Linked DNA regions of Diceros bicornis minor. The protein of the gene in region 1 purifies or fractionates together with the protein of each later gene. This does not show direct contact. Links are inferred from orthologs where the notes say so. Each region holds a gene or a part of one and is shown on either strand. Other genes may lie near its edges.

What was found.
Region 2: the proteins of PPP2CB (region 1) and CTTNBP2NL purify together in Homo sapiens (affinity purification with mass spectrometry; 5 studies listed by BioGRID and IntAct, counting the BioPlex papers as one, with this or other methods). This does not show direct contact. The link is inferred for Diceros bicornis minor from reciprocal best matches to the Homo sapiens genes PPP2CB and CTTNBP2NL.
Region 3: the proteins of PPP2CB (region 1) and SLMAP purify together in Homo sapiens (affinity purification with mass spectrometry; 3 studies listed by BioGRID and IntAct, counting the BioPlex papers as one, with this or other methods). This does not show direct contact. The link is inferred for Diceros bicornis minor from reciprocal best matches to the Homo sapiens genes PPP2CB and SLMAP.
Region 4: the proteins of PPP2CB (region 1) and STRN4 purify together in Homo sapiens (affinity purification with mass spectrometry; 4 studies listed by BioGRID and IntAct, counting the BioPlex papers as one, with this or other methods). This does not show direct contact. The link is inferred for Diceros bicornis minor from reciprocal best matches to the Homo sapiens genes PPP2CB and STRN4.

The regions. Positions count from the first base shown.
Region 1 is NC_080768.1:28,480,206-28,488,134, forward strand, and holds the start of PPP2CB (serine/threonine-protein phosphatase 2A catalytic subunit beta isoform), read right to left. Parts: upstream 3,095-7,929; 5' UTR 2,797-3,094; coding exon 2,695-2,796; intron 1-2,694.
Region 2 is NC_080743.1:45,208,949-45,217,076, forward strand, and holds the start of CTTNBP2NL (CTTNBP2 N-terminal-like protein), read left to right. Parts: upstream 1-5,078; 5' UTR 5,079-5,213; intron 5,214-8,128. UniProt on the Homo sapiens protein: Regulates lamellipodial actin dynamics in a CTTN-dependent manner. Associates with core striatin-interacting phosphatase and kinase (STRIPAK) complex to form CTTNBP2NL-STRIPAK complexes.
Region 3 is NC_080741.1:57,750,025-57,757,215, forward strand, and holds the start of SLMAP (sarcolemmal membrane-associated protein), read left to right. Parts: upstream 1-4,048; 5' UTR 4,049-4,340; coding exon 4,341-4,538; intron 4,539-7,191. UniProt on the Homo sapiens protein: Associates with the striatin-interacting phosphatase and kinase (STRIPAK) core complex, forming the extended (SIKE1:SLMAP)STRIPAK complex.
Region 4 is NC_080773.1:22,277,089-22,284,320, reverse strand, and holds the start of STRN4 (striatin-4), read left to right. Parts: upstream 1-4,120; 5' UTR 4,121-4,135; coding exon 4,136-4,417; intron 4,418-7,232. UniProt on the Homo sapiens protein: Calmodulin-binding scaffolding protein which is the center of the striatin-interacting phosphatase and kinase (STRIPAK) complexes.

The DNA.
Region 1 (7,929 bases):
TACTTTTGCCACTAGCTCAAAATAGGGCTTTTACCAGTACCACTTTGATCTTAATTTCAGCTGACTCCTTTAGTTTTTAGGCAATCTGAGTTAAAATAGGAATTTAATTTTGAGGGAAAAATCACCACCATATAATGTAACTTTCTATAGAGTAGTATTTCCGACAGACTCCAAAAAATCATGTTATTAAAAAAAAAAGAACTAAAACCTAGTCACAAAGAATTAAACAATAAGGTGATCTACATAATCAGGTTTGACTTTTCACTTTTCTCTTATATTCTTTCTACGCGCCTGCCATTCTTGACCTGGAAGGGTAGAGCAGGTATCAAGTAGACCAAGTGATGGTAAGGTTACTTCACAAAATTGCTACTAATCCCAGTACTTTGTGCTTCAGGTAACAAGGATCACAAGAAATAGTGAGTGAAACTGTATTTTTAACAATTCTAGAGCCACTACATATAAAATCTTTTTTTAAAGTACATTCTCCACAGAGAAGTCACATCATCACATCTATTTCTTTGCATCTTTTTGCAAAAGAAAATGAGGGGACAGATTTAAAACAAAATGAAATAGCTATTTTTATTTAGCTTTTCTTCATTTAATATTCATTGCGTGCTTATTTCTTGTCAGGACTTAACAGGGGTGGTATCTTAATACTCACAACCAACACAGAAGATCAGGAAATTTTATCACCTCTGTCTTACAGATGAGGAATCAGAGGTGCAGGGAGACTGGCAGCTGCCGAGCTGCAGGGCCAGGGTGTGAACTCAGATGGGCTGACCACCAGAGCTCACTGCAAGCAAACAGGACACTCCTCAGGAACATGGAGGATCAGGGTAGGGACGTAAAATGGAACTAGAGCCTAAGGTTAGAAGACAGAACATATATACCACAAAGGGACGCCACAGTTGCTAGAAGAGGGCTGCAAAACCAAGCACTGCTTAAAAAGGTAGAGAGCAAGGAATCCTATCACACTTCTCCACCCACCAGCAACTCCATCAAAGGGGTGGAGGAGAAAGATAAATGATTGTGGATTTTCACGTAAAAACTCATGTTTAGTGGATAAGTACAAATATTCAAAGAAAAAAGTGGGTAAGACATAAGCTTAAACATACCTATAAAGTCCTAGGGATTGGTAGTTCAATTATTTAGGAGCTGAAGTAAAAAATACTCTCGACAAACACAGAAAGCTTCCTCAAGTGATTAAGACTCAAGTGTGACTGAGTAGTGGTACAACATTCCTCTCTAGAAATACATCTCCAAATGATTAGAGCGTCAAAGGGAAAAGCTGACTCAGCTACTGACTGTGTCCATTAACTTGGTGAAGTGCATGTCTATGTTCATAGTGAGGTTAACTGACTCAGCTAATGTCAAAACTGGATATTTCACTCGACACTGGAGCTTGAGAGAGAGAGATTTAAAACGTAAATTTTAAGACATGAAATTATAGGTTATGACTCAAGGAAACTGAATGTCTACTTGAAGCTATAAGCAAACAGTTTTTTCAGAAAAATACCAGTTGTTCAGCAATTCTATTTACAGAAATAAATTTTCCTGTGTTAACAAATAGTTATTTAATATACAAAGGCCCTAGGCGACATTTACTTGTTAAAAACACTATTTTAACTTAATATTAGCTATTACTCCTCCAACCCTAAGATGCTTTATTTTAAGAGTGCCCTATTAATAATACTAACAACATTTCTGGGGCATCCTGACTTCCGAACACTATGATCAAGAAAGTTTTATAGATTATGGCTTAAAAATACAAACAAACCCAACAGCATTAAAGATTAAACTCGTTACTCCTTCCTGGACTTCAAATGAGGTCTTTTAACATATAAATGTATGAAAATTATTTAGTCCAGATTATAAAAGATGAATGAGAAAAACTCTAGACTTTAACGTAAATAAGATAGACCGTCTGAAATAATTCCAGTGGTTAAGAACAGTCGATACAGAATTCAGAATGTTGTTTAAGATCATACAACCAAGAACGACTGTAAACAACTAAAACAAATAAAAACTCCTTTTTCTTCGGAAAAGAAAGCTTTACATGTAATAAAGATGGAAAAGACTTTCTAAAAAGTGCTGCTCTGCACGAAAAATACATACCCCATTTATCATTTCAAGCAAGCACTGTTGCCAAACTTTAGACTTGCTGTTTTATTTCTGAAAATCAACATTTTGCTTCCAAGAGCCACTCAACGCGAAGACCAGTTACCATCTGTTTCAACCAAAGTCAACCTCTATTTTAAAAACCACAGCCTGCCATCACACCCACCTCTCCACAAACAAATGCCTGACGCATTCCAAGGTCGCGATTTTTGAAGGGCCCGATTCACCTGAAAAAAATCCTACGTTTATGAACAGGTTCGTTAATATGAGCAACATCCAGGTTAATTTTCGGTGCATTTTCAGACAGGAGGTCGCATCAGACTAAGTGGCCGCATTCCACAGGGCCGCGCTCGCTAGTCCACGCTGACCTGGAGGGTCAGGAACCCCCAGAAGAGCGTCGGTGACCCCATTCGAGCTCACGCGCGGGTGCCAGGTCTCCCCCGGCCACCCACAGCGGACCCCTGGGCCAGTAACGTGAGCGCAGCGCCCCGGGCCCCGGAACGGCCACCGCCGCCGCCGGGAGCACGGGCCCGGGGCAGGGCGGCCGCCCCCGCGCAGCCCTCCTTCCTCTCCTACCTTCTCGCACAGGGTCCGCACTTGGTTCTCGTTGAGCTGTTTACACTCGTTCAGCTGCTCGACCCACTGGTCCAGCTCCTTGGTGAACGCCTTGTCGTCCATGGCGGCCCGCGGCCCTCCCCCCGCCCCGGCGCCGCTCCCCGCTCCCGCTCCCGCTCCCGCTCGCCGCTCCGGCCGCCGCCGCCAGCTCCCGGCGGGAGAGGAAGGAGCCGGGGCGCGCGGCCGCGGGCCCCACGCCCCGCCTAAGGCAGCGGGCGGCGCCGGGAGCGCGGCCCCGAGGAGCCCCCCGGCCGGCCGCGCGCCCCGCGAGTCGCTGAAGGACGCGGGGCGGTGGGGGGCAGCGCGGCGCGGGGCTTCGGCGCAGCTCCCGCCGGACGATGGCCACCCGCCGGCCACTCCCGGCTCTCTCACCCCTTCGCTCTCGCTCTTTCTCTTCCCTCCCTCCGGGTTTCCGTCATCGCCCGGGCATTTCCGCCGGGAAAAGGGGAGCAGGCGGCGCCGCCAGGGAGCGGGATGCGAGCAGGGCTGCAGCGCCCCCGTGTGGCTCGGCGGAGAAACGAGCCGAGGGTCGCCCCGCTTTCTCCCCCTTCCCTTCTCTATGCCCGGTTCCCGCTTCGGGTCCGGACCAAGCTCTCCTGGTTCTTTCCTCACATCCTTTTCTCTGGGAACTTCGCCCCCACCTTAGTCTTCTGCAGTGCTTTTTCAGCGCTCTGGAGAGGGAATTAGGAAGCTTGTGCCTTTCCTCGACAACATTGTCTCGCCGGAGTCTAGCCCTTTCCCATAGCAAGCATTCAATATTTATTGAGTGAATCAATGAATTCTTTCTAGCCTTATCTCTGCTACTAGCTAGCTGTGGGGCCCTAACATCTCGAATCCCCGCTTTCAGCATCAGAAAGATGAAATGATTGTTCTGTATAATATGAAGCTGTGTTGTGCCAACTTCTTAGCTGTGTCCTTGGGCAATCACCGAATTTCTCCAAGCCTCAGCTTCTCCGTCTAACAGGGCTCAGTAAGGCTTACCTTTTCATGTTGTGAAGATTAAATTTTACAAGTACCCACCCAGTAAGTACAGTACGGGAGCAATGTGTTAGTTGCCTTATCCCTCCTAAGCCACAGTTACAGAAAGCTTTAGAAAGGTGCCATTTGAACTGAATTTTGAACCTTTCCCCAAGGCAAAACTTTGAAGTTGCCTGGAGAAGAGGAAAGAAGTTCCAAGGAATTTTTTTTGTGTGTGAGGCAGAGGACAAATGTGTGATCACGGTCCGTTTGGAAAGCTATACATATTCCTATCAACAGAAATAGGGAAATAAGGCTGGAAGAGCTCCTGCTCTCAACGGACTTGTAAATAGTAGCTAACCAATTGAAGAAGAAAACATGAAGAGGTAACGAAACAACACTGAAGAGAAGGGGCACCTGTATAATTGCAATAGACATTGCAGTCTCTGAGGTTAGTCTATAAAGGTTTAAAGGGGGCTGGATTTCAGCTAACCCTGGAAAGCTCAGAATGAAAATGAGAATGAGAAGGGCGTTTTCAGAGTTCCTAGAGAAGATGGACTGAGAACAGAAAATATACCTTGAGGAGAAATGGGAACTCTATGTTATAGTGGTTAGGGAGGGAGGTCCTTGAAATAAAAGCAAATGTGTTCGGAATAACAAGAGCGGATGTTCTTAGAGTGGAAGATAGGTAGGCAAGCTTGTGAAAATAGTGCTTCTGAAAAGCTTAGTCAACTTACACTGTAGAGCAAATAAAGATGCTTTTTTTTTTTTTTTTTGGTGAGGAAGATTTGCCCTGAGCTAACATCCTTTGGCAATCTTCCTCTTTTTTTTTGCTTGAGGAAGATTAGCCCTGAGCTAACATCTGTGCCAATTTTGTATGTGGGATGCCTCCGCAGCATGGCTGATGAGTGCAGTAGGTCTGCGCCTGGGATCCGAACCTGCAAACCCAGGCCCGCCAAAGGGGAGCACGCAGAACTTTAACCACTTGGCCACGGGGTGGGCCCCGGGATGCTTTTTTGAGTGCTTCCTATGTGCTAAGCGTTTTACATTTGTCTTCTCATTTAATCCTCCAGTAATCCTATGAGACAGGTGCCATTATTGCTCTCCACTTTACAGATGAAGAAAGAGACACACAGAAGTTTAAAAGCACACTCAAGTCACACAGATAGTAACTGGTGGAGTAAGGATTAACACCCAAGTTTGTCTGACTTCTACTCTGTGTTTTATGTTATATGAGCTCTACAGTCTGACGGGAGTAGGGAAAGCTGGAGATTGGTAGACCAGCCAAAGGGCTTGGTGATTGTAATATCAGTTTTTGGTATTTCGGTTGTGAAGCCATCTTAATTAAAAATAAAAACTATAATTCTTAAACTTCTTTCTTTCTTTGCTCTTTGCTTCTGTCATGTATGTATGTATGTATTATGTATGAATATGTTGTGTGTTTTCTCCTGTGGAACATAACCATCAATCTCCAATCCTTGCTAAGCATGTCATGCAAAACTGCATTTAATCTTAGGTTTGCAGGCCAGTTCTAAAGTTCTTTGTTTACCAGAAGTGTTCTCATTTTTACTTTGTTTACCTCTTTCCTTTTGGTCAAAGAATTTTAAAATCGTTGACTTCAGCAGATCCTTTGCCTTAAAATTACATGTTAGATTTTGTTCCTACATAATTGACTAAGTTCTTTTAAAATATATAAACATTGATATTTTTCTTGATTTAAATGGTATTATGCCATTTAAAAGTATGAAATATGAATCATTTATATTTTGTAACATATCCAGAGAGTTATATGCTACATTTAAAATTATATGTTGTATTGGTTTAAAAATGATTCTTCTATACCACCATATTCTCAAAAGACTAAATAAATATCTTTATTTCTAGTTCAAAAACTTTGACAATGGGAATGTGAATACGGTATTATTGAAATTGCTACAGGGAATTCTGCATCAGAATCCCCATCAATAATGATGAGACTAAAAAGACAAAGTCAAATTGGAAATGCTTTCTTTGAATTTAAAAACTATAAATCACTGTTAATAAAAAGACCACAGTTCTTTTCTCCTCTTATCACTCTACCACCCAAAAAACTTGGTTCTAAAAACTCCCTTCAAATTTATTGAGGAAGAGATGGAATTATTTGAAGATAAAGGAATCAGAACAGATGCTGTGTTTAATATTTTGTCCTTCTTTGTTGACCTCAGTTGGAGGCTTGGTTCAAATTCCCTAGCATACCACTGTGGAAGTGGAGTCCTTTATAAACATTTTATACCTAGCTATTCTATATTGTGTATCTGACAATTCCCACACTGCCAGTTCTTAAGTGACTAAAGATGTTTTTCTTGTTTCTGCTGACTCTTACTCATAGTGGCTTGCCTTCTAGTGTGTATGCATTCACAGCTTGAATGGATTGTGACAGTACTGTGGGCCTACCTTGGGAAGACTTTCCTCTAGAAAGTTTGCTTCTGTATCTGCAGAAATATCCAGGAAATATTCCTAAGCCAACACCACTTCAGCAAGAGTTTTGGCTCAGAATAGGAGTGTCAGCTCCCCCACCTCAGTGTCCCTGTAGCAGTGTCTTTGGGAATCCAGCCTCAGAGCAATGTCATTCCTTCTGGCAGCCGTGTTGTTCAGGTGAGCTCCCTGCTGATTTAGTCAGGCCATGGCTCTTGGCCCTGTGGGCTTAGTTTCCAGCTGTTCTGTCCCAAGCATCTAGTTCTTCTCAAATCTTCAGATGGCTCAAGCCCAAGATCCTTTCCACTCCAGCCCATGTCTACCCATTCTGGGCTAAATTCATGCTCGTTTATTTTTGGGAAATCCATGGAGATCTATCCTAATTTGTAAGACCAATGAAGCCTCAAAAAAAAAAAAAAAAAAAAAAAGGTGTCCTGTTCTGGGTCTAGTTGTTTTGGAGCAGGCAGTTCCTGTAGAGCTCCTGGACATTTATAACACTGAAAGTGAAAATCTATGTTTTAAATATTTAAAAATTTGTACAGCCATGTTGATGCTTTTTCCTCTATGTAATAGAATTTTTTGTAATCTCCCGCTGTGGGCTTTTAAAAGCTGAGGCCTACAATATTCTCAAGACTGACACAGCTCAGAAGTTGATTTCTCTGTCACCGTGGAGCTTCCATCCCTCCTCTGAAACCTGGGATACTTCCAAAAATAACTACTGGAGAAGAAGCTGTGGTCACTTCAATTCTGAGAGCCGCTTAATTGCCCCATCATCATAACTTCTGGCAATGGCTTTAATCTATTCTATTCAATTAGTTACTGTTCTCACTTGCCACACACTTTCTTGGCTCCATGCCTTAATTCATGCTTTACATCTACAGGAAGTACTTTTTTTCCTCCTCCATGCATGCATAAACCTGCCTCTATCATCAAGGACAAGTGTCAGGATTATCTTTTTCCATGAAGTCCTTTCTCTTACTGACACCAAAAGGAATTCATCTCTCTTTAAAAATTCATACCTTTGGGTCTGTCCTTTTTCCATACCACATACTTTCTAGATCATGTTGTTTATATGAATTTCTTCTTTCTTATTAGAATATAAATTACTTGACCGCACGATCCATGTATATTACATTTGTGATACCAAAAACGTAGGACAAGCCCTTTAGAGAGTAGGTGCTCAGTAAATATTTGTGAGTGAATTTGAGGAAAGTAGCAAGAATGAAAGTAAACTGCTGGTCTGACTAAAAGGATTAGTTTCAGTATTTAGGATTGATCCACCACTATGGAAAGCCTCAATATTTGTTTCATCTTCTTTCTTTTAAAAGGTACATTTTTGCTTTTGTTATGGTTTTGATGCCATATTTTTCATTCTAGCCAACACTGGTAGAGCAGGGATTGTTAGCAGTCTAGCCAGTACCCACGGTACCTTTCTTAACAATTCTGTTTGTAGTGAAAAATGCCCTGCTTAAAGAATACCTAGGAGTGGCCGTGTGGTGTTATTCTGGCAAACGCACCGTAAGGAGAACTAGCTGAGTGCGGCTCTACGGGAAAGCTTGTTAAAGGGAGTAAACTCAGAATGCTCCTGCCTGGGACTCATTGCTGGAGATGGAACAGCCATTTTGAGGCCACTAGAAAAAAAGCAAGAGGCTACAGGCCACATGTTAGGGATGGCTAAAAAGAAAGAAAAACGAACTTGGGTCCCTAAGGGCAATGTGAAACCAGGATAGCCGCTCTGCTTGCCTACTCCAGACTTAGGAGTGAAGAAGAAAACTCATATTTGTT
Region 2 (8,128 bases), on another chromosome or scaffold:
GGCATAACTAAAACACAGATACTTTGATTGTTTTATGGTTCATCCTCCGTACCATACCATACGCTCTGTTTCTTCTCAGTTTGGAATCCTGATGGAGTCAACAACTTCATCCTACATTAACATTTAAAGGGTTTTTGTATTCCAGGGCTGTCTCTAGAATTGTGGCCCATGAATCCTTTTACTGGAAATAAAATCAATCTACATGTTATTCTTCCCTCATAGTGGTATTTTACAAATCATAGTGACATTATTTTAGAAAACGCAAAAATTTAGGGGAATGATAGACAGATAGATGATATAGACAGATATACATATTTCAATGAAATCATGTTGTAATTTCATTTAAACTAAATAAAGCAACTGACAAATATACTTGAAATGGTTCATACTTCTGGTAATTTTCTCATGTTAAAAGACTTTTTTTTATTTTAATGAAAAAAATTAATGCAAAAACTATTAATCATTTTCATTAACATACGTTCCAGTAGCTTAACTAATGTAGTTCTTCTGGTTTGGTCTTGCCTCAGATGAGAATACTTGAAAGAGTGTAAACAGATACACAGGTAGACAGACCTGTTTTTAATAACGTTGTGCTAAATGTCCTCATTTTGGGGGAAAGGTGTTTGAATGTTTGTGGGCATGAGGCCACTTCCTCCTTTTCTTCAATATAGATATAAATCTTGTTGGCAACATATAGGAGAAACAATGAGAGAAACAGATGTACACACAGAGAGAGAGAAAGAGACAGACATTCACACACACCCACTGAGATACGCCAGAGATGCCTGAGTCTTAAAACAGAGCTAAACAAAACAAAAAGCTGATACCCATCATGGTGTCCCAGAAAGTGGATTAGACTGGATCTTAAAAAGACATGAGTGTGAGACCTAGTTTTACTATTTAACTATAATCTTCAGTAATTCACTTAACAACTGTGGCCTCAATTTTCATCTATAAAATGAGAGTGCTGAATCAGATTATTTCTGAGGTCCCTTCCAGCTTTATGAATCACATTTTAGCGGAGGTTTTTCCACTACACAATTCCTAAGGCTGATAAAATGAGAAGATCAGATGTAAACAGTGGTTACCAAGCAGTGGTTACTAAGGAAGCCTCTGTAATCAAATTACCAAGGTTCAAATCCCATTTCTGCCATATACTAGATGTGAGACCTTGAGCAAGTTATTTAGCCTCTGTGCCTGTTTTCCCATCTGTAAAATGGGGATGATGACGATGAATTCATTGGTGCTGATTATACATCAATCCCCATCACCTAAGGTTGTTGTGAGGACTGAATTAATGCATGTCAAGTACTTAGAACACTACCTGGAACATATTAATGTTTAGCTCAATAAATGTTTATCTTTTTATTATTACTATTATTGCTTGAATTCTTAGAAAACTATGTTATAAAACTCTGAGGTAGTGGTAATTAAGGTTGATAAGCTCAATTATATCATCATTAATTTCTGTACTAAGCATAAATCCAGAAAATCTGTTATCCTAGAATCTGCTTTGAGTAGAGCACTGTGTATTTGAATAGAGTACTGAAAGTATTTTCAATGTTGACCTTAAAGAGTATTAGCTTTATTACAGAACTGGTTTCTTAAGGCTTACTTCAAAGTCTATATTGACAGTACTGGATAAACAAGCATCTCGATCCCTTAGCACTGTTGTAATTTCTTTGTAAGTGTACTATTCATATTATATTTCAGGATCCTGAAATTGATAATCTCTAAAAGTGTTTCAAAACCATTCTGTTTTATATAATGCTACGTATAGTATGGCTGGAAAAAGCAGACTGATAAGACAAAGCAAGGCATTCTGAAAAATGTGTTATAGCAGTCTTGTGGTAAGGGGAAGGCTAGATCTAGTTGCTCTGATGGTCTTTAAAAGTAGTAAATGATTAGCATGTCGTATTAGTTTGCTAGGACTGCCATAACAAAGTACCACAGACCGGGTGGCTTAAACGACAGAAATTTATTTTCTCACAGTCCTGGAGGCTGGAAGTCCAAAATCAACCTGTCAGCAGAACTGGTTTCCTCTGAGGCCTCTCTTGGGCTTGTAGATGGCTGTCTTCTCCGTCTGTCTTCACATGGTCTTTCCCTGTCCCGTGTTTGTGTCCAGATTTCCTCTTCTTGTAAGGATACCAGTTATATTAGATTAGATCCCACCCTAATGACCTCATTTTAACTTAATTACCTCTTTAAAGACCTCATCTCCAAATGCAGTCACATTCTGAGGTCCTGGGGATTAGGACTTCAACATATGAAATGCGGGGGGGACATAAATCAGCCCATAACACATTATAATACATAGACACATAAAAGTCCAAATAGTCCCGTAATACCTGTTAACTTCAACTGAAAGAAGATCGATTTGACATTTGTAGTAAAGCTTACATTGCTTAGTATTGTAGAATTCAGTAAAAGGAGATTTTACACCTTGGTTTTAGAAACTTTGTAAATAATAATAGCAAAAACACCTCGCTTTAGTAAATGTACAGAAGATCTGCTTTCTTGATCAGAAAATTATTTTCTGTTAGTTTTTTGACGTATTTTTCTTCCCTAGCCTAATCCTAAAATGCCACAAGTGGAATGAGAGGTATAGTTTGGAATGTTGTCACTCTCTTACCCCCAAATGCATAAATAACCCTTCTGAAAAACCAGAAGTGCCAGAGGGTGGGGAAACTTACATCTTTTGAGATAGTCAAGGTAATGTGTCAACACCTTCCACCCCTAAATAGGAGGTTGCTTTGGATACATTTTTAAAAATAGCAGTGCATTTTTGTCCATATTTAGATTTAGTATTTATAAATGTGACATGTTTATTTTTTTTTTAATTTCATATATACTAAGTTTTTAAGGAAGTACGTTATCTAGTGGAAAGCTGTCAAAAAACACCCATTTTGTATGTCAGTGTTGACTCTGAATTTTGAGAATTAATTGGCCTCCTGTATTTTGGTTTTGTTTATATGTATGTGAAAGAGTCTACATAATTGGAGCAGACTTGCTTTATATCTTTGCCATATCTTATCACTAATACTAAAAACTTACTGAATGGCCTGAATCTCAGTCAATTGTAGCCCAAGTATAAATTTCTTAAATTTGATGTCTGAGTATGTAATAAAGAAGTGATTTTTATCCAGTTTTGCAAGAGTGATCTCCTGGGTAAAACAACTGATTTGTTTTTTATTCTAGCCAAGTTGATTTAAAAAAAAAATGTAGTTTTTTTGAGGTGTTTCTATGTCCAGAAATATCCAAGACTCATCTAGAAATGTTGTTTTCCCTCTTCCATGCCCCATATCACCCACCACTTAGAAATAAAGCCTTCAGTTCCACATAAAGACATACGCACACCCAGATACTAGATAGACAAACATCTTACTTATACTCCACCCTGCCCTGCCCTACTGCTTACATAGCTATAGAAGCTGTTTGGGGTGTTTCTTTTTCTGCCACCCAATCTCTATGTGTTAAAAAACAACAACAATGCCTGCTATCCTATAGAATTAATTCAGAGTTCTAAAGCAAAAGCTGGGACTTCCTCAAGAAGGAAAAAGCACAACCACAACCAGAATGAGTGGAGCTTAGGTATTATCCAGAGAAGGGAAAAGGTCAGAATAAAATGAACAGAGCCCAGGCCACAGCAGCATACTTCCATGGCAAAATCAGCACTGCCCTTTAGGAGGCTGGGAGGGTGGGAAGGAGGGTGCCCTTCTTAATAGCCATAACTCTTGTGACCGTTGGCACGTGAAAGTTCATATAGAAGAGACTTCTGCCCTCCTGGCTATTGGCCCTGACTTGGTGGGAAGTAGATTGTGAATAGACCAAATGGTATGCTGGGCAAACTCATGTTTGAAATCAGTTACTGATGACTTAAAAACAAGTTTCCTACTTAGCCCATAAATAGCCTTATTTTTCCAGGGTATTAAAATATCTATAACTTTATCTTTTTTATTATATGTATTTTTTAATTGAGAAAACTATAAAGCTTAATATAGCTACAGCTGGCTGTACCACAGGGTATGATAATGTATCCAGACAACTTGTCCACAAATGGTTTTCATTTCAAATTTATAGACTGTAGCATTCCTTAGACAGAAACATCTGCCTCTAAACTCTAAGGAAAGTTGGGTCTTAGAGAGATTCTAATGGAAGGAATGAGCTGAGCATCTGGTTGAAATGATCTTGTCTTTCAAAGTTACTTACTAGATGATGACAATGACAAGTAACAGCTCATTTACAAAATAAGTAGAGAATGACTCTGTAGACTACAACCTGGCATGCCAAAAATCTAGCAGTCATATTTCTGATAATGAATATGGAGTTAGATACAGCCTTTTTCTGAAAATATTGGGCCACATGATTTATATGTTGGGCAGAAAGTAGAGTCCAATAGACTTGGTGCCTTAAAATACGAGACAAAAATTATGTTTTATCAAATAAAATTTAAAGCCTATAATTTTTTTAAAAGTTTGCTGGGTCTAATACACTCTTATGAAAACATAAAAAAATTTGTATATAATTCAACATTTAATATTTTAAAATAAATGGGAAAAAGTAGAAGCTGGGATGAATGATCACCCTTACAGACAAAGTTGAGATGGTGACAGGTTGTCTTTTTGTTTATTGATTGGCAGGAGGTGAGCAGATGAGAATTCTCCTTACGCGAATTTGGCAGTTTAAAAAGTTCAGTTGTAATTATGTTATTTTTCTATCTGAGTGCCTTGTGCATACGTCATGGTGATTCAAGCAAATAGGCTTTTGTCAATACGGGGAGAGAAAGTCAGTCTCTTCTAGTGACATTCATAAGTTAGTCCTTGAAATGACAGTGGACATCTTAAAGTAAAAAAGATTTTGAAAGTTCTCACTTTTCCTAATTATAATTGCAAAAGGGAAGTCAGATTCCTGGTGTTTTTCCTGTATTGCTTAGCCTCAATTTGAAGAAGTGGCTATTTTCTTCTTTCTTGTCTGTATCAACCTACAGCTGTCAGGCCTCATCACCTGTAATGACGGTTGACATTCGTGGGATTTACAAAATTGTTTGTAGTGTGGTCACACAGACAATAAATTTCTTATTATTTTGCAGCATTGGACACTTTTCCACCATGCTGACGGCATTTTAAATATATTCGTCAATTTTCTCAAATTGTAACTGAAGAAAACCTTAAGAATTTATACTTGAGGACTGAAGTGTGACTGCCAATAATCAGGTCAGTATCACCCCCATCCCCACCCCCACCCCCACCCCAGGAATATCACTGCCATCTTAAAACATAATGCAGTTTTACTATCTTTCATTTATATTTCTGACAAAAATTTATTGCAATGTTTTGTGTATTGAGATTAGATACAAATGTAAAAAACTGCTAAATTTTAATATTTATAAAGAAAAGTTATGGGAATATGGGAAAACAGACCTGTTGGTTTTTTAATTATACAGCTGTGGCCCTTTATTTCCTCCTGTGTCATATTTGTATTGTATTCACTTCATGTAGACAGTAAGCTAAATGAGTTGGTACATATTAGCAGAATGTTCCAGGTATTAAAATTGGTGTACAGAAGTGATTTACAAATGTAAAGATAACAAGAATATTGTTGTTTATGCCATTGACAAAGAATAGAATTTTTCCTGCCTAGGCTGGACTGCTTTATAATTAAAGTAACTATGCAGATTGTTTCAATTTTACTTCAATTTTTATGAGGATGTATATTTATCACAACAGATCAAAGACTGATTTAGGTACAGTCTGTTTTAGTTCTTTGTGTATTTACCTCTTACTCTTATTTAACAGGATTCTCTAACAAATAATTCTTGATTTTTACCATAATTCTTGATTTTTACCCATGAAAGCTTAGAATGGAACCAAGAAGGACCTTAGAGATTATCTAGTCTGTCTTATTTTACCTGTGAGGAAACTCAGTGCCAGAGTAACTGGGTAATTTTTTTCTTCAAGGCCATATAGCTGTTTAGTGGCAGAGCTGAGATTAAAATTCTGCACTCCTCACTCCCAGTTTTCCTCATATCATACTGCTTCTTTAAGCCACAGCTTTGGATCTCTAAATAAGAATATTTAAGGACTATGAAGATATTGAAGGAAAAAAGAGTAATATGTGTGAACACTATCATTTTTAGTTCTATTCCTACCTTCCTACCTTGGTGCTTGTCCATCCAGTTGATTTACTCAGTGCAGTGGGTATTTATGGAGCCTCCTTACCAAGTCCCCATTATTTCCGTTAACATCATAGGAGGAGAGAGGAAGGGCATAAAATGATAGGATTTTTCCTCTGCCTTATAATCTCTCAGAGAGAGATTAAAACATGAAACCATCAGGAAGAGGGAGAAGGGTTTCATCTAAGAAACCAGTGTGACTCAACTGGTAGTTTAAATCCTTCACCGTTCTTCACTCCAGGATGCTATCACCCTTCTTCATTTGTGGTTCCCAACTACAAAAGGGCAGCTGAAGCTATTTCTGAGGTCATTGATCTTGGCTGCCCCCAGATTTGGGAATGCCTTTCTTAGAATTCTTTTGGAAGAAGAGAAGATAGTAGTTATTAATGATTAAACCATTGTTCAGCTTATATCAGGAACTTGGCAAGATGTTTTCCACTTATTAACTCAGTCTTCACAGCAACCTAATGAGTTAGATGTCGTCATCCCCCTTTCACAGATAAGAAAACTTGTCCAAAGTCACACAACTAGGAAGATGCAGACCTGGCATCTATCTGACTGCAAAGCCACGTGCTCTCTCCAGCATACCATCTTATATTAAGTATAGCTTTTCTGGGTTTGTTGTTTTTTTAGTTCTTATTTTTAAAATAACTGTTGTGAAATGTCTCTCTGATACTGAAGTGAGAATCACTTATTAGTTGCTAAAACTTACTAGGTAGAAAGTTAGCAGTTAGAGGTGAAGTTACATTGAACATATTTTACCATGGGGCAAAAGATTGGTACAGCATGTCCTGGAACACAGTCTAACGTCCTCTCCTTCATTTAAAGGCAGTAGCTCTGGAAGGAGTCAATGACTCTTTTGTGTGCCTCCTAAAATTTAATGTGCTTCTAGGAGTCAGGAATTACTGGAGGGTGTGTGAACTAGTTATGTTGTGATTCACCTTAAAGAAAACTATGAAAGTGGCTGGGGCCGGCCCGGTGGTGCAAGCCGTTAAGTACGCGCGCTCCGCTGCGGCAGCCCGGGATTCACCGGTTCGGATCCCAGGTGCGCACTGACGCGCTGCTTGTCAAGCCATGCTGTGGAGGCGTCCTATATAAAGTAGAGGAAGATGGGCACGGATATTAGCTCAGGGCCAGTCTTCCCCAGAAAAAAGAGGAGGATTGGCATCAGATGTTAGCTCAGGGCTGATCTTCCTCACAAAAAAAAAAGAAAACTAAAAGTGACAATTTGGAAGTAAAAAGTGGGAGAGGGAAAATAGTATTTGCTCTACTTTGGAAGTTATAAAATGTATCTTACTATACACAGTGGTCAGGAGACTCTTAAAGATTGTGTAGCAGTCTAACTTTTATGTATAGTTGCTGAGACATTAATCTTGTGGAAAGGACTGAACTTGTGCCATGCAATTTGCCATTTAACATATTTCAAAAGATGCAAGACTTCATAGAGATGTGAACTTGTTAAGTCAAATAAATTCAGTCTGTAGTAGCCTGGCCAAATAAGCTGTTTAAACAATATATTTTAAGCAGTCATTTAAAAGTGTATTTGTATATATTTGCATTTAAGTCTTATTTTACTATATGGAATATAAATATTGTGATAGATGTTCTCTGTGAAAGTAGACAATTTAAAAGAAGAATTTCACCTATACTCCTACCAAACATTATCTTTGCTCAAATTTTATTTCAGCCAATTTCAGAGGGATGCCAGAATGTTTTATATACAGTTTTGGAATTTGGTTATCTAAAACTTGGAAATCTTTTCATGGTCTAACAATTTTTCAGTGGAATAGTATTCATTGTAATACAATTTTACCTGAACTTCTAGTGAACAAAATTAATGACTAATTCTTTCTGAGACCTTCTAGGATGTTTGTAAATATGCCTAGAGGAAAAATGATGAAAAATTGATCTTGTGAGTGGTGATGAAATCAATAAAGTCAATTTTATTTTCTCTTA
Region 3 (7,191 bases), on another chromosome or scaffold:
GCTTAGAATTCAAAATATCTCATGTATGAGATTTCTTAATTTAAGCCTTTTCTATGCCTGCCGAATACCAGTGGGTGAAGAACGCCTTCAATGCCATTTTGGCATTTCCACACCCTGTGTAGCTTGGTAGGATTGTTTACTCTTCCAGGTTATAGCAATCCCAGCTTTTCTTGGAGAAAAAAAGCCTATTCTGTTTAACATTAGTTTTAAGAGAGATTGTAGTAGAACTGAACGTAAAGAGACACTTCTTGTTTCCATATTTGTGAACAAGTTTGTCCATATACAAATTAGGGATAATACAACTTGCTCCTTACTGTATGTGGAAGGCTGGGGGAATTCTTACTATTAGTAATAATAATAAAAACTAACATTCTCTGAATATCTACTATTTTCTAGACATCATGGTAGGCACTTTGTCTTGCGTTATCTTATTTAACCCTAACAAGACTCTGTGAAGTATTGTCTACTTTTTTCAAATGAAGAAACTGAGACTTAGAGAAGCTAAATAATTTACCATTCACAGTGCTGGTAAATGGTGATGCAACGTCTGATTCTGAAACCTTGATTTTCATTACTCTACTTTAACCTTGTAGGAGAAAGATGGAAATGTTCTGAAGTTTATTGCATTGCCTATGAATCCTCCAGCAATTGAAATCATACTTCTGTGCCCCTCTCCTTGAACACCCCCACTTCCACTTATACTGCAATAATACAGACCTGCTTGTAATTCCCTTAAGGTCCTGTTCTCTCAAGTTTCTGGGTCTTTGTTTATAATATTTTCTTGGCCTAAAATTTTGTTATCCAACTACTACCAGACTAGCTTGCCTACTCCTACTCATTTTTCAAGTCTCAGTTTAAACTACTCTACCATGCTCCCATTACTCTTTGTTTTTCCTGAGGAAAGTTCGCCCTGAGCTAACATCCACTGCCAATTTTCCTCTTTTTGTACGTGAGCCGTGCCACAGCATGGCCACTGACAGACAAGGGGTGTAGGTCCGTGCCCAAGAACTGAGGCTGCTGAAGCGGAGTGCACCGAACTTAACCATTGGGGCTGGGCCCCATTACTCTTGATATACTCATTATGGCAGGGATCTTATTGTGTCATCACCTAAACTATGAGCAATTCAAAGGAATCTTTTTTTTTCATTGTTGTATTTCCAGGGCCTTTCAAAGTATCTGTTTCCCAGTAGATATTCAATTAAATATTTATAGAATGAATGAATGAAGGAATGCATAAGTCACTTATAAATTCATGCACAGAACTCATCAGGGATTTGTGGAGGGACCTATATTACTTTATTCCACATAAGCCTAAAAGTTACCAAAAATGAAAACTCTTCATCTTTATATGAAAACTTTTGAACATATCCTTATTTTTCTCCAGAATAAAGTAACTGGACACAGTAGTCGTTCAATACATATTTGCTGAATTAGTGAAGAGTCTTAGAAAAGTATATGAAGGCTTTATAATCGAATGCATATTCTTGTCTCCAGATTCACTTTGTGCCACTCCTGCTTTATCCTGTAATAATGAATAACAATATGTAATTTTTATTGAGGTATCAAATATTTATTGAGTCACTATTATATGCCAGGCACATTGGTCCACTGTTTCAATAGCCTTGTTCCTTTGCTTCCTAGTCCCTCTTTCTGGAAATTTATGAAGGCACTCAGTAAATACCATATTTATTGTGGTTTTCCTACCTTCATTCATTCAGTTCAGTTACTTCCCCTAGAAGGCTGTCCCTGACCCCTTTAGGATCCAGTGCTTGCCTCCATCTTAGCCCTGATTACATCAAAGTGAAGTTATTTGTATCCATGTTTGTCACCTCTCTCCCCAAATTCCTATCCAATAATACCTCAATGAGCCCTTAGAGGGCAGGGACTGAGGTTTTGTTCACCCCTAGGACTCAGCACAGATTTTAGGACAGGGCCAAAAGCCTATGAATAAGCATTGAAATGAACAATAGTTACTCTTCATTGAGCAACATGGATTATCGTCTTGAATTCTCACAAGAACAGGTGAGTTATGTATTATCTGCATGCTATAGATGAGAAAACGAGGCTTGAAAAGGTTTAGAAACTTGCCCAAGGTCACACAGTGGTGGAGCCTGTTGTCAAAGGAATCTGAAGAATGAAGCCACCATTGACTCTAAATGAATGACTCCTTCCCACCATCTTTTCTTGAAATTTTCTTTCAGATTTTGCAGTCTTCCCTTCTTTAGACCAATGACTCCTCATCTACCTTAATATCATGAGTGGGGGGCCACACCCCCTTTTTTTCATATTGTAAATTGATGACATCTCTCTAGAAGCAACGTGACTTTAAACTTTTAAGTCATACTCTTTCTGGGGTAGAATCTGTGTTTGGAGCCCTGAGGGACATGACAGTTCCAGTGAGAAAAGCGGTCATTCGAAATAGAATGCGGGGACTAAGAAAGAGTTTTTCTCCGGGTAGGATACACAGGGAAGACTTTAGCAGGAAGAGGACGGACTTTGTCATCTTAGATGCACAAATCCTGAGACTTGTGGGAATTTGGTTGTTCACACCTAAGGCGGCTGTGGGGGACTGTGTTGCCCACAGCTAAGATGGCTGCTAATGAACATTTGCTTTGGATGGATCTGTTCTCTTTGCTCGCTGCCATTTTCAACAAGAACGATAGTGAATAAAATTTAGTAAAAGTTGGTGCCTTCTTACCAAGATGGTAAAGTAGGAAGTTGGCACGTTTTGTTTAGAAAACCTTCAACAGGTCAAATTTTTTCTTGCCCTTAACCAAAAGGGCCGAAAAGGTTGTCCCATGGTTTGAAGCTTTCAGCCCTTAACTAAGATGGCGCCCGGAGAATCGTTGAAAATTATCTTGCCCTCTTTTCTGCCCTCGACCGTCATGGCTTCCGCGGCGTCGATCACGTGACTTCCCCGGACTACGGCGCGGGAGAGGGGGTAGGAGGGCCCTTGAAGGGTGCGCGTTCCCGTGGCGGTGCACCCGGTAGGTTTCAGTCAGAGTCACTATGGCGGCCGGCGCTGGCAAGGTAAGCTGAGGCGGCGGCGGCGGCAAGGGAGGCTGGACCCGTCGTGGTGTCCGGGCTCCAAATTCCCGCAGCCTCTCTGCGGAGAGGTCGGCCGAGGTCGTGGCCCGTGGCGGGGGCTGGCGGGGGGCGGTTGAGGGGGATGAGGGCTGAGGCGGGCGGGCACCGGCGCCTGACGGCCGTTTGTTTTGATGTTTCCCCCACCAGGTCGGAAAGTTTCTTGCTTCGTCGGGCACAGCCTGAGCGTGTCCCAGCGGCCGCGAGTGGTGGAGGCTGCGGCGGACCCAGCCCGGGGCCTCCAGGCCTCTCCCCCAACCTCCGGGCCGGCCTCCCTCCCCCACCTCCTCGTCCGCCGGGAGCTGCGGCTGCCGTCCCTGAGATGCGACCCTCGCGGGGGCGACCCTGAGGGGAGGCGGCCGGTGTGCTGAGCAGCAGCCAGGAGCCCAGGCGTCCAGGGACCAACTTCTTGCGGGCGGAGACCACCGAGCCTCCCCGGGGTCGCGCCTCGCTCGGTCCGCACCGGCCTGCGGAGCCGGATCCCCGCCCTGGTCGCGGGGACGCCCGCCAGGTGTCGGGGAGTCCCGACTCGGCCTCTGCCCGCGCTCCCGCCAGTCCCCGCTCCTCGCGCCAAGGACCCAGCCACCGCCGCCTCGGCTCGTGCGGGGCCAGGGACCCGTGCCACCTCCCGGGCGGCCTCCGCGCAGCAGGGGCCATGCAGACTGTCCCGCTGGCCGTCTAGACCCCCTCGCGTCTGTCTCTCCCCTCTCGAGGCCCTCGAGGACGGGCAGTGGCTGCCCAGAGGTGCTCGGCTACACCTTCTTTCAGCGCGAAAGGACCTTGCTGGCCGCACCGAACCGACCCTTCCTTCATGCTGCAGTGCTGCAACATTTCCGCCACCGAGGGGGAAAGGCGGCCGCGATCCCAAACAAAACACAAGAATTGGTGTGTGACTCATCTGCTTGGATACCTCCAATCTCCAAACTGTCTTCCAGGAGTTTTCTTGGCCGAAGCTGTCCGATGTTTGAGTCTTTTCATCCCAGGGAAGAAGATGGACTGAAAGCTGCCAGTTGGGGACTTTTTGTGATCAGGGCGCTGCTGGGTTTTAAAGGAGGTAATGGGGCTTTCGCTGGCTTGTCTTCCCACTCAAGTGAAGAAGAGTTGTTGATGTTCGCTGGTTATGCTTAGACAATGCACAGTTTGTTTTAATTTAAAATTTTGGGGGGGATAGGGGTATAGGCTTGTGAAGGGCAGTCCGGATCCGGTGGAACTCCTCTTTGTCCCTTGATAGGAGAGACACCCCCAGTCTGTCCTCGATGCCGTCAGCCTTGGCCATCTTCACTTGCCGCCCGAACTCGCACCCGTTTCAGGAGCGTCATGTCTACCTGGACGAGCCCATTAAAATCGGCCGCTCCGTGGCCCGCTGTCGACCAGCGCAGAATAATGCTACCTTTGATTGCAAAGTGCTGTCAAGGAACCATGCTCTCGTCTGGTTTGATCACAAGACGGGCAAGGTAATGTCACCACATTGTCTAACAGTCTTTATTTTTCCTATGCCTTTGCCGTTTTTGCATAATGTATTCGGGATCCCAGGGTTTGCACGCGCAGGAGACTTTCAGCAAGGCCACGGAATCAAGTTTTTGTGTCTGGTTCTAGTGGAAATTTAATTGAGGTGGTTGAATGGAAAACAGAGAGGTATTGTAATTAAACGCCTCAGGAGGGTGATGGCATCTTGATAACGTGGTCATTCCCAGTGAAATCCCAAACCCTAGGGTGATGGCATCTTGATAATGTGGTCATTCCCAGTGAAATCCCAAACCCTAATTCGTTTCGGAAAACTAGATAGTGAAACTTGGCTTCTTGCTTTCAGTCTTTTTAGAAAGGTGAATTTGCAGTTCAGTGCTTGATTAAGCAAGGAGCAATTCCCAAAGCAATGCAGGGAATCCGTGGCCAGTATTACACTGGGGCTCAAGTGTCTCAGTGGTGAGAGGTAGTTAACACATAGCTTTTAGTTGAGTTCAGATCAGGGCCTTTCTAGTAAGGACAGTCCTTTGTGTAAATTGTGTGGGAGTAATTTGCAGTTATCAAAGCCAATTTAATTAAGCATGAACAACTGTTAACTTGACATTTTCAGAGTTCTGTTTGCATATTGGGTTAACGTATACCTATTGCTTTTGAAAATCAGTTTTTGATGTTCCCCGCAGCATTTACTAAAAACACTTAATGCATACTTACAGAGGTGATATTTAGGAAATCAATTTATTTTCTGAAATTATATCCAATTCTATCAATTATTACAGTACCTAGATGTGATAGGATGAATTTAGTGCTCTTCCATTTTAGCATTTTTATGTTGGCACCCTATTTTGCTATACATGTGAGTGCTTATATTTTATGAATACAAGAAAAAAAATACAGACAGATCCTTTCAATTTTTAAAACTCTTTATGTGTTTGGAGAATATACTAAAGAGCTTATTTTTGTGCTTAAACCTCAGGTTTTAGTTGAGCTACTGAATCAGTTCTAACTTAGAGTAAGTTATATAAGACTAATAAAAATATCTCTGGTTTCACCTCCTGACTTTTTGCTCCCTCTTTCTGAGTTAAATGATTAAATCTTTTTTAAAAAGAGAATTTAAGTCAAGAGTAGTGCTTTGAAATGAAAGAAACCTGAGCCTCAAAAGGAAGAGAGAAAGCAATACTTCTTTTGCTACTGAATTAAGGAATTATTATATAAATTATTTTTCGAAGAAAGGACGAAAAGATTGCCCAAGTGCTGTGTGCTTGCATAATACCAAACCCTACTCCGTGTGTGGGATGAGAACAGAAAAGTATGTTATTTTTTCGGTGTAACACCAGATGATCATTTACCTGGGAACACACCCTTTTTTTCCCCCTGGAAACTAAAGTTTGGGTACCTGAAAGACTTCATAGATTACCCATAATCATTTAAAGTGAATATTCATAGAACTCATCTTTCCAGAAATGAAATTCAAACATCAGTTAACTGCTAGTGCGTTAACTCAACCAGCTTTTACATATTTGTCTCTTTATGTGCCTGGTCCAACTTAATCAGAAAACAGGTTTGCTTAAAGTACATACTCTGCAAATGCACATTCTTTGCTTTGATTCAGTACTCAAAGGAGACTCAGATTTTTTCTTTTACTTATTTGAAAAATAATGATTACATGAACAGTGCTTTTCATGGCTATTCTAAAACCCCCACAATAGGTTATTTTGAGATGAGAGAATAGGTCAATAATGAGTGTTTATTGTAGAAATTGAGATGACGTGTTAAAATTTTGAATGGAATTTGTTATTAGAAAAACTTATCTTTAAAGGATACACAGCTTATTTCTACCATTTTCACTTTTTTCCCCTGCTTTATTAGCTAAACCACATTCAGAATATGAGGCCATTACTTTAGGCGTAGCTATAATTATTGATTATTGTACCACTTAATCTAGTTAAAACAAATACCCTATCAGATTGTGCCATGTGATCAAATTGTCTTAGGAATTAACTATTTAAAATTTAGGTTTGAACAGACAGTAGATTTTTATTGAGCATTTATTGTGTGTCAGATATCGTGAGGTATGCAGTTCCAAAGAAAACCCACAGTTTGACCAAATATCTTTAATTGTTTTCTCTGTGTGAAATTTTCAGTTTGAGAATTTCTGCTATAATTGTCTCATAACAAAAGTCCCCAGGCCTAATATATATTCCCAGCAAATTCCTTTATACAACACAAGAATCCCCTCCTTCTATAAGCATTACTTCACGCAAGTTTTTTTTTAAACATCTCTAAGCCTCAGTTTTCTCTTCTGGGAATAATGATGGTACCTACTATTGTTTTGAGAATTGAGGTAATTATGTAAATCATTTAGCACCCTTATTAAGGGCTCAGTACTTAGGGAGGAGGGTGTTTGGGTTGAGGGGAAGAGGGAACCATCTCGACAGGTCTTTGCAATATAGTATAGTAGTGCTGTGGAGTCTTAGGAAGGTAATGGGAAATTTTTTTCTTTTATGTGATGGCGTATATAGAAGTAATGTTTTTTTGTTCTTTTGTTTTTTTTTTGTGAGGAAGATCAGCCCTGAGCTAACATCCATGCCAATCCTCCTCTTTTTGCTGAGGAATACCGGCCCTGAGCTAACATCTATTGCCAGT
Region 4 (7,232 bases), on another chromosome or scaffold:
TTCTGACCCCTCCTCCCCATTCCCACAGCTCCCCTCCCTCAGCCTGGGTCCACCCACAGCCCCACTCAGCCTCCTCCTGGTCTCCTGACCAAGTCCCCTCCTCATGGCAGCCAGAGGAGTCTTCACAAAGCACAAATCTGACCTCTCCCCCCTGCTCAGAACCTGCCATGGCTCCCCAGTGCCCTGGGGAGAAACTTTAAGTATCTTACAACATCCCACAAGGCCTTGTGTGACCTGGCCCTGACCCGCCCATCATCCCAGCCCCATCTCCCGCCATGGCTCCTCAAACTCTATGCCTAAGCCACCTCGGACTTCTCCTCCAACACGTCTTATTTCTAAGTCTTTGTACATTTTGTTCCTTCTGCCTAGCAGAGTCTCCTCTTGAACATCCCGTCTCCCCATTCCTCTTTTCTCCTGGAAAGCTCCTACTCATGCTTCAGGCTTCAGCTCAGATGGCCCCTCCTCCAGGAAGTCCTCCCTGAACCCCTGGCTGGGTCAGAAGTCCCCTCTGGGCTCTCGCAGCCCCTGGGGTCCCCCCGTTCCGGGCCTGCCTATTCTGGTTCAGCACCATCTGGGGATGGGTCTGTCTGCTCCACTAGACTGTGAGACCTGGGAGGGTACAGCCAGGGCCATTCGATCACCGCTGTGTTCCTAGCACACGGCTGGGCACTGAAAATGCACTTGGCAAAAAACTGATGGCGAGGGTCAGGGTTTCTGTGTGTCTGTAAAGCCCACTCAGGTCCCTGGAGCCACACTCCGCACTGTGGCCATGGGCCTGGGGCCCTGCCCTGGCCTTCCTGCCTCCTCTCTCTCCCACCCTCTTCACCCATCCCAGTCCCACATGCCCTTCTCTGCCCCAGCTCGGCTGGTACTTAAGAACCTGAGTTGTAGGGGCCGGCCCCGTGGCTTAGCGGTTAAGTGCGCGCGCTCCGCTGCTGGCGGCCCGGGTTCGGATCCCGGGCGCGCACCGATGCACCGCTTCTCCGGCCATGCTGTGGCGGCGTCCCATATAAAGTGGAGGAAGATGGGCATGGATGTTAGCCCAGGGCCAGTCTTCCTCAGCAAAAAGAGGAGGATTGGCAGATGTTAGCTCAGGGCTGATGTTACACACACACACACAAAAGAATCTGAGTTGCACCTTGAGAGCGACTTCTTAATCCTCAGAACCTTGGAATTGCCTTCTGGCCCTTAGACTGATCCCTCCTTCCTTCAGTCCTTCAATGTCTATTTGTGGAGCTCCTACAACACGCCAGCACTGTTCTAGGCCCTGGGGACACAGCGGTGGACACACAACACACAGAGACAGACAACACCCCTGACCTCACGGAACTCACATTATTACGGGGGGAGGGGCCTTTGGAACCACAGAGTCTTCGAGGTCTTAAAAATCTCAGAATCTTAGAGCTTAGGTACACAGAAGCACAGAAGAGAGCCTTAGATAGTTTTAGAATTTTCTAAAGATTCTAAAGTGACCATCTTCTTGCTCTACTCTCATCCCCTATAATCTGTTCCCCACTCAGCACCAGAGGGATCTGGTTAAAACTCGAATTAGATCTTGTTCTGCATCTGCTCAAATCCTTTTGTGGCTCACAACTCACTCCGAGGAAAACCCAAAGTCTTCACGGTGGCCCATAAAGCCCCGCATGATCCCCCGTCTTCTCTCACTCGTTCACTCAGCTCCAGCCACACACACCGGCCACCAAACGCATCATTTGTGTGGAATGAAGGAGGGACTCCCGTTGCTCAGATGGGGAACCTGTGGCTCAGAGGCAGAAAGGAGGCAGGTGGCAGAAGCCGGGTCTCCACTTCCAGGCCCTGGCTCTTGCTGTGCTCTGTCTGGCTGACTCCGGGCCAGGAGGTGCCCAGCAGGACAAAGGACAGAAACCAGGTCCTTGGAGAGCAGCGGGTATGAGAGCCAGATGAGGAGGGGAGCGGACCAGAGAAGAGAGAGCAAGGAATCATCTAGTACCCCGACAAGGTCCGTCTCAGCTTCCCCAACTGTAAGGGCTCAAAACCTCTTCACTGGGGCAAAGTGGATGAAACGATGATTTTGAAGGTCCGAACGTTCGACATCTTTCTGAATCATGATAGGATGATAACAATATCAACAATGCTAGCCACTCATGACGTGCCAGACTCAGTTCTAAGCACTTTACACTATTAACTTGTTGCATCTTCATGTTACGATCACATTTAAAGATGAGGAAACTGAGGCACAGAGAGGTGAAGTCACTCGCTCAGGGTCACACAGCTGGGAAGAAGACCCAAGAAGCTGCTTCCAAAGTGGTGCTTTCAACCAATAAACTGCTGTCTCTGTTGGGTCCACTCAGACAGTCCAATTCTCGGTCCATCTTCAGTGAGCTTTCCCCCGCCCTAACCGGACAGGGGCTTTCAAAGCTGAAGATGGCACATTAAATAATTCATTCAACTCATTCACTCAACAAACAGATGTTTATTGAGTGCCCTCTGAGCCGGACCCTGTGATGAAGGAGGCAGTCATGGGGCAGGCCCTCCAGGGGTAGGAAGACAGACAGAACCACACAAACAACTTACAGATAGGGCAGGAAACCAGCAGGGGGCGTGACAGAGAAAAGGTGGTAAGTTAAGGGCAGTTAAGCTATGTCTCTCCACTCCCCCCAAAACAATCTAAGTGGATCCAGATTCACTTCAGGCCTGGGTTCACCTGGCCTGAGCCTCAGTTATTGCATCTGTAGAATGGGTATGTGATGGGCAGAGAAAATAAGCGACATGTGGGAAAGCCTTTGGGGACAAGGAAAGGGCAGTTTCCATGTGACTGCTGGTGACACTGGGGGACTTCTTACCTCCTAGGTTGCAGGCTGGGGGAGCTCCAGGCAGGTGGTTCCAGCCCAGCTCAGCTGCACTGCTGAGGGAAGGAGAACCAGAAAACCTCAAATCAGCCAATTTTGCACAATAGAGCACAATTTCATCTTATCTACAAAAGTGGCAGTGAGAAGGTCAGGGAATCATTTCTTTTGAAGTCGCACAAGCTTGGGCACCACCTGGAGCATCTTAGGAGTGGGAGGGAAGGATGTTAGTTATCATAGCAACCTCTAAGCATCCCTCTCATGAATGTGTCCAGAAAGGTAGGGCTGGAAGTGACAGAAGGTGTTACCATGACAACTCCTCCCCTAGACACACTCCATGCTGAGAGACAATCATAAAACATCCCGTACCTTAGTGGGCCTAGTTCCAAGGGTCACAGGAAGGGGGACTGCCCCCGTTACCATAGTAACCAGGGCTTGGCCTTGCCTGCTTCTCACGTCTCTGGGGATGGGCCAGGCTCTGTAACCATAGCAACTACTGCTCAGCAGAGCATCTTCTCTAAATAAAAACACCTGTTGGGTTTGGTCCATGGACCTCCCACGATGGGGAAGGGGGGAGATGGTTACCATGGTAATGCCAACTGAGTAGCTGGGGGGAGGGGTTAGGAAAGAAGTGTTTCCCTCAGCCATCAGTGTCCTTGGGGCTGGGGCCCTTTTTACCTGAGTGCTAGGTGAGGTTGTCATAGTAACCAATGAGGGTAGGGGAAGAAGGACCACAAGGGACTTAGGTTACCTTAGCAACCTCCTCCTGGTGCAGGTACAGGAAAGGTTTGGGACTCCATAACCACAAAGGTGGAGGGGAAGGGAGGGGAGGCTGGGGTGTTCCGAGCTGGGGAAAGGTTACCATGACAACCGCCCCTGGCCAGGAATGAGAGAGGATGGTGGTCGCCCTTTCTCTCAAAGAGTGACAGACATTGACTGTCGATGAGAGTGGGATTTGGGTCTGGAGAGGGTTTGAATCTTTCTTTGGGGTGAAGAGGGAGAAGGGGGGCACATAGCGACCCCTCCCCTAGTCCCGCTCTTCCCAGGGGCGACCCCCGCGCGGCGCCTGGGTCGCGTTTGCCCCCCTCGGGGCGCGCGCCCCCTTCCCGCCCCCCGCGCGCGCACGCGCGCCGTCGGGGTCGACCCGGGTGGGCGAGGCGCGCGCCGGGCCTCGTTCCCGTCTCCGCCCCCACCCCCCCAGCCCCGGCGAGCGCGCGCGGAGGGCCGGGGGGCGGGGGGGGGGGGGAGGTTGGCGCGGCCGCGCAGGCGCGCGAGGCACGGCGGGCGCGCGGGCCGGCCCCGGGGCCTCCATGATGGAGGAGCGAGCGGCCGCCGCGGTCGCCGCCGCCGCCTCCTCCTGCCGCCCGCTCGGCTCCGCCGCAGGCCCCGGCCCGACGGGCGCGGCCCCGGCCCCTGCCCCGTCCCCCGGGCCCGGCCCGGCCGCTAAGGGAGGCGGCGGCGGAGGCAGCCCCGGGCCCACGGCGGGGCCGGAGCCCCTGAGCCTGCCCGGGATCCTGCACTTTATCCAGCACGAGTGGGCGCGCTTCGAAGCGGAGAAGGCCCGCTGGGAGGCCGAGCGCGCCGAGCTGCAGGTGAGCGCCGCCCCGGGACCCCCGGCCCCCCGCCCGGCCCGGCCCGGCCCGGCCCGGCCTCACCCGCCGCCGCCGCCGCCGCCATCTTGGAGCAATGGCCGCCGGGACGGCCGGGGGGGCGGGGGGCCGCGGCGGCCCGAGAGGAGTGAGGGGCCGGCCCAGGGGGGTCCCGGGGGCCCCGGGCGGCTCGCGGCCGAGGGGACCCCGGGGCGGGAGGGGCCGGCCGGGTCCGGCGAGAGAAGGCCGGGGGACCGGAGCCGGTTGGAGTGGGAGTGGGCTGGCCGGTCGGGGGGTGCCGGGGCGGGGTCCCCCCAGGGCAGCCCCAGAGAACTCAGCCCAGAGTGATGGAGGAGTTGGGGGCTGATGGAGGAGTTAGGGAGCGAAAGCTCAGAGGGTGCGGGGTTCTCCCAGCCCCGGCCCACCAGGTGCGCTTGGAGGTGGAGCCTGATGGGCTCCAGGTGGGAGAGACGGGGCGTCGGGGACCCGCCGGGTCCGGGGTGGGGGAACCGGCCTGAGTCGGGAGAGGAAGTCGGGGAGCCTGGGAGGGGGTGTGTTTCTGAGCGTCTGGAGACGGGAACTGAAAGACGGCTGTGGGAGGACTCGGGAGGAGCAGAGGCTCTCGAGGAGTCCCGGGATGGAGGTGTGTGCCTTCCTCTCCGAGGAGGGAGCTTTGGGGAGCCCTGGCATGTGTGCGTACCGAGGGCAGGGAAGGGTCCCTGCGGTGGAAGCACGGACGGGGCCAGGACTTGCCCTGGGAGCCTGTGTGGGAGAGCTTGAGAGCCGAAACTCCAGTTTGGGGGTGTGGAAGAGTGGGGGCTGCAGCCCCGAGATGGAGGAGTGTGTAGATGTCAGGTGGGGCTCTGAACTGGAGTGAGAGGGGTCAGGCTTGTCCACCGTGGGATGGGGACACTGAGGAGGAATCCGGGGGCCCCTGGAGGATGGCAGGGGGAGCGTGTTGCAGAGCAGGAAGGCAGCGTGAGGAAGCATGTCAGAACGACCTTGGGGGGCGGGGGGGGTGGTGGTGGGGGGGGTGGGAAGGACGTGTTTGTGGAAGTTTCCGGGAAAGGACCTCATGATTTGTGGAGTAGCTTGGGAGAGGGATGTGCGCTGGGATGATGTTTGGAAGAGCCTGAAGAGCTGGGCTGGGTTTTGTGACCTTGAGAAGTGTGGGTCCCTTTGCAGAGAGTGTCCCAAAGAGCCTGGACATCAGCGTTCTGAGAGTTTGAAGGGGTCCAGGGACGGGCTGCCAGGAGTCGGAGCGTTCCTGGGCTGGTGTGTTATTAGCAGAAGTCAGCACTTGCTTCTAGCAGCCCATCTTTCCCTTTCTGATTTGAGGTTTCCTATCTGGTTGAGTTGGGGACTCAAATAAATAACTGATTAGAATTTTGTGAATAGGATGAATAAAGACAGCATTCCACAGTTCTCCCAGCCCCACTAAGGATCTTAGCCGTCTGGCCAGCTGAGGGTTGGGGTGGGAGAGGAATCCTTATGTAAGTGCTCCTCGCCTTTGCATCCCGCTCTACTTCCGGAGCTCTTTCCCAGGGTACAGCTCATTAGATCTTCTCAATACCCCTTTATGTGGGCAGCACGAGTGCCATTGCCCTCTCAGCAAAAATGCCAGCAGCTGCTGTTTATTGAGCTCATGTTATGTGCCAGGGCCTGGACTGAGTTTTTTAGATACATGGTATCATTTAATCCTTGGAACATTCTGGAAAGGTGAGTGATATTACCGCCCCCCCCCCCCCCGGCCCACATTTTAAAAAAATAATCGGAAGAAGAGATGGAGGCTTTGAGAGGGTCAGTGATTTGCCTAGGATCACAGCCCATGGGTGGCAGGGCTAGTCTGAGGGCTTTCAAGCTCATGCTCTATAGCTCTCTGCCGCCCAGTTCAGATGAGCAAACTGCTCCCAGGAAGCTCGGCAGCCTCCCCAGGGTCATCCACGCAGTCGTAGCAGACCCGGGAGTGAACCCGAGGCTCTGGGACTTCACGCCGGTGCACCCTACAGCACCCACCACACCACCTTCTCATCTTTGAGACTGATGAGAGAAAAGGTGTGTGTTATTCCCTCCCTTAGTGGCCCTTCTGGGAGTCTGAGTGGAACTCGTGGATGGCACCCAGAAGGCTCTTCCTTTTCTAGGCTCCACATCATCACTGTCTCTGTACTTTTGTTTTCTTTTGTTCTGTGACATTAGTGAACATTCAGAGGTCTCAGAAATGTGTGTGTATGTAAGTATACATATATGTGTGTGTGTGTCTGTGTGTAAAAGGAAGTCCCCCTCCGTCCCTTTCTTCCTCTTCTCTCCAGCTCTCCTCTCCAACTTCATTGCTATAAAAGTATAAAAGTAGTGCAGCTTTGTTGTGTAACGTATGAGATCATATTATATGTATCGTTTTGTGACTTTTTCACATACTTGTGGGTCTTGGTGTCCTTTTCACGTCAGCACAGAGAGCTCTTCCTCTTTTTTTTTTTGGTGAGGAAGATTGTTGCTGGGCTAACATCCGTGCCCATCTTGCTCTATTTTGTATGTGGGACGCCACCACAGCATGGCTTGATGAACGGTGTGTAGGTCTGCCCCCGGGATCCGAACCCACGAACCTGGTCTGCAGAAGCGGAGTGGGCGAACTTAACCACTACGCCACAGGGCTGGCCCCTCTCTCTCATTTTTGATGACTGTGTTCCACTGGATGTTTGTACCATAGCTCATTTAGTTGGACCCCTGTTCATGGACTTTTAGGTAGTTTCCAGTTTTCCTCTGTCAGAAACGGCTGCCTTGAGTATCCTTACGTTCCGTGTGAGGATACGGCAGAACAGAT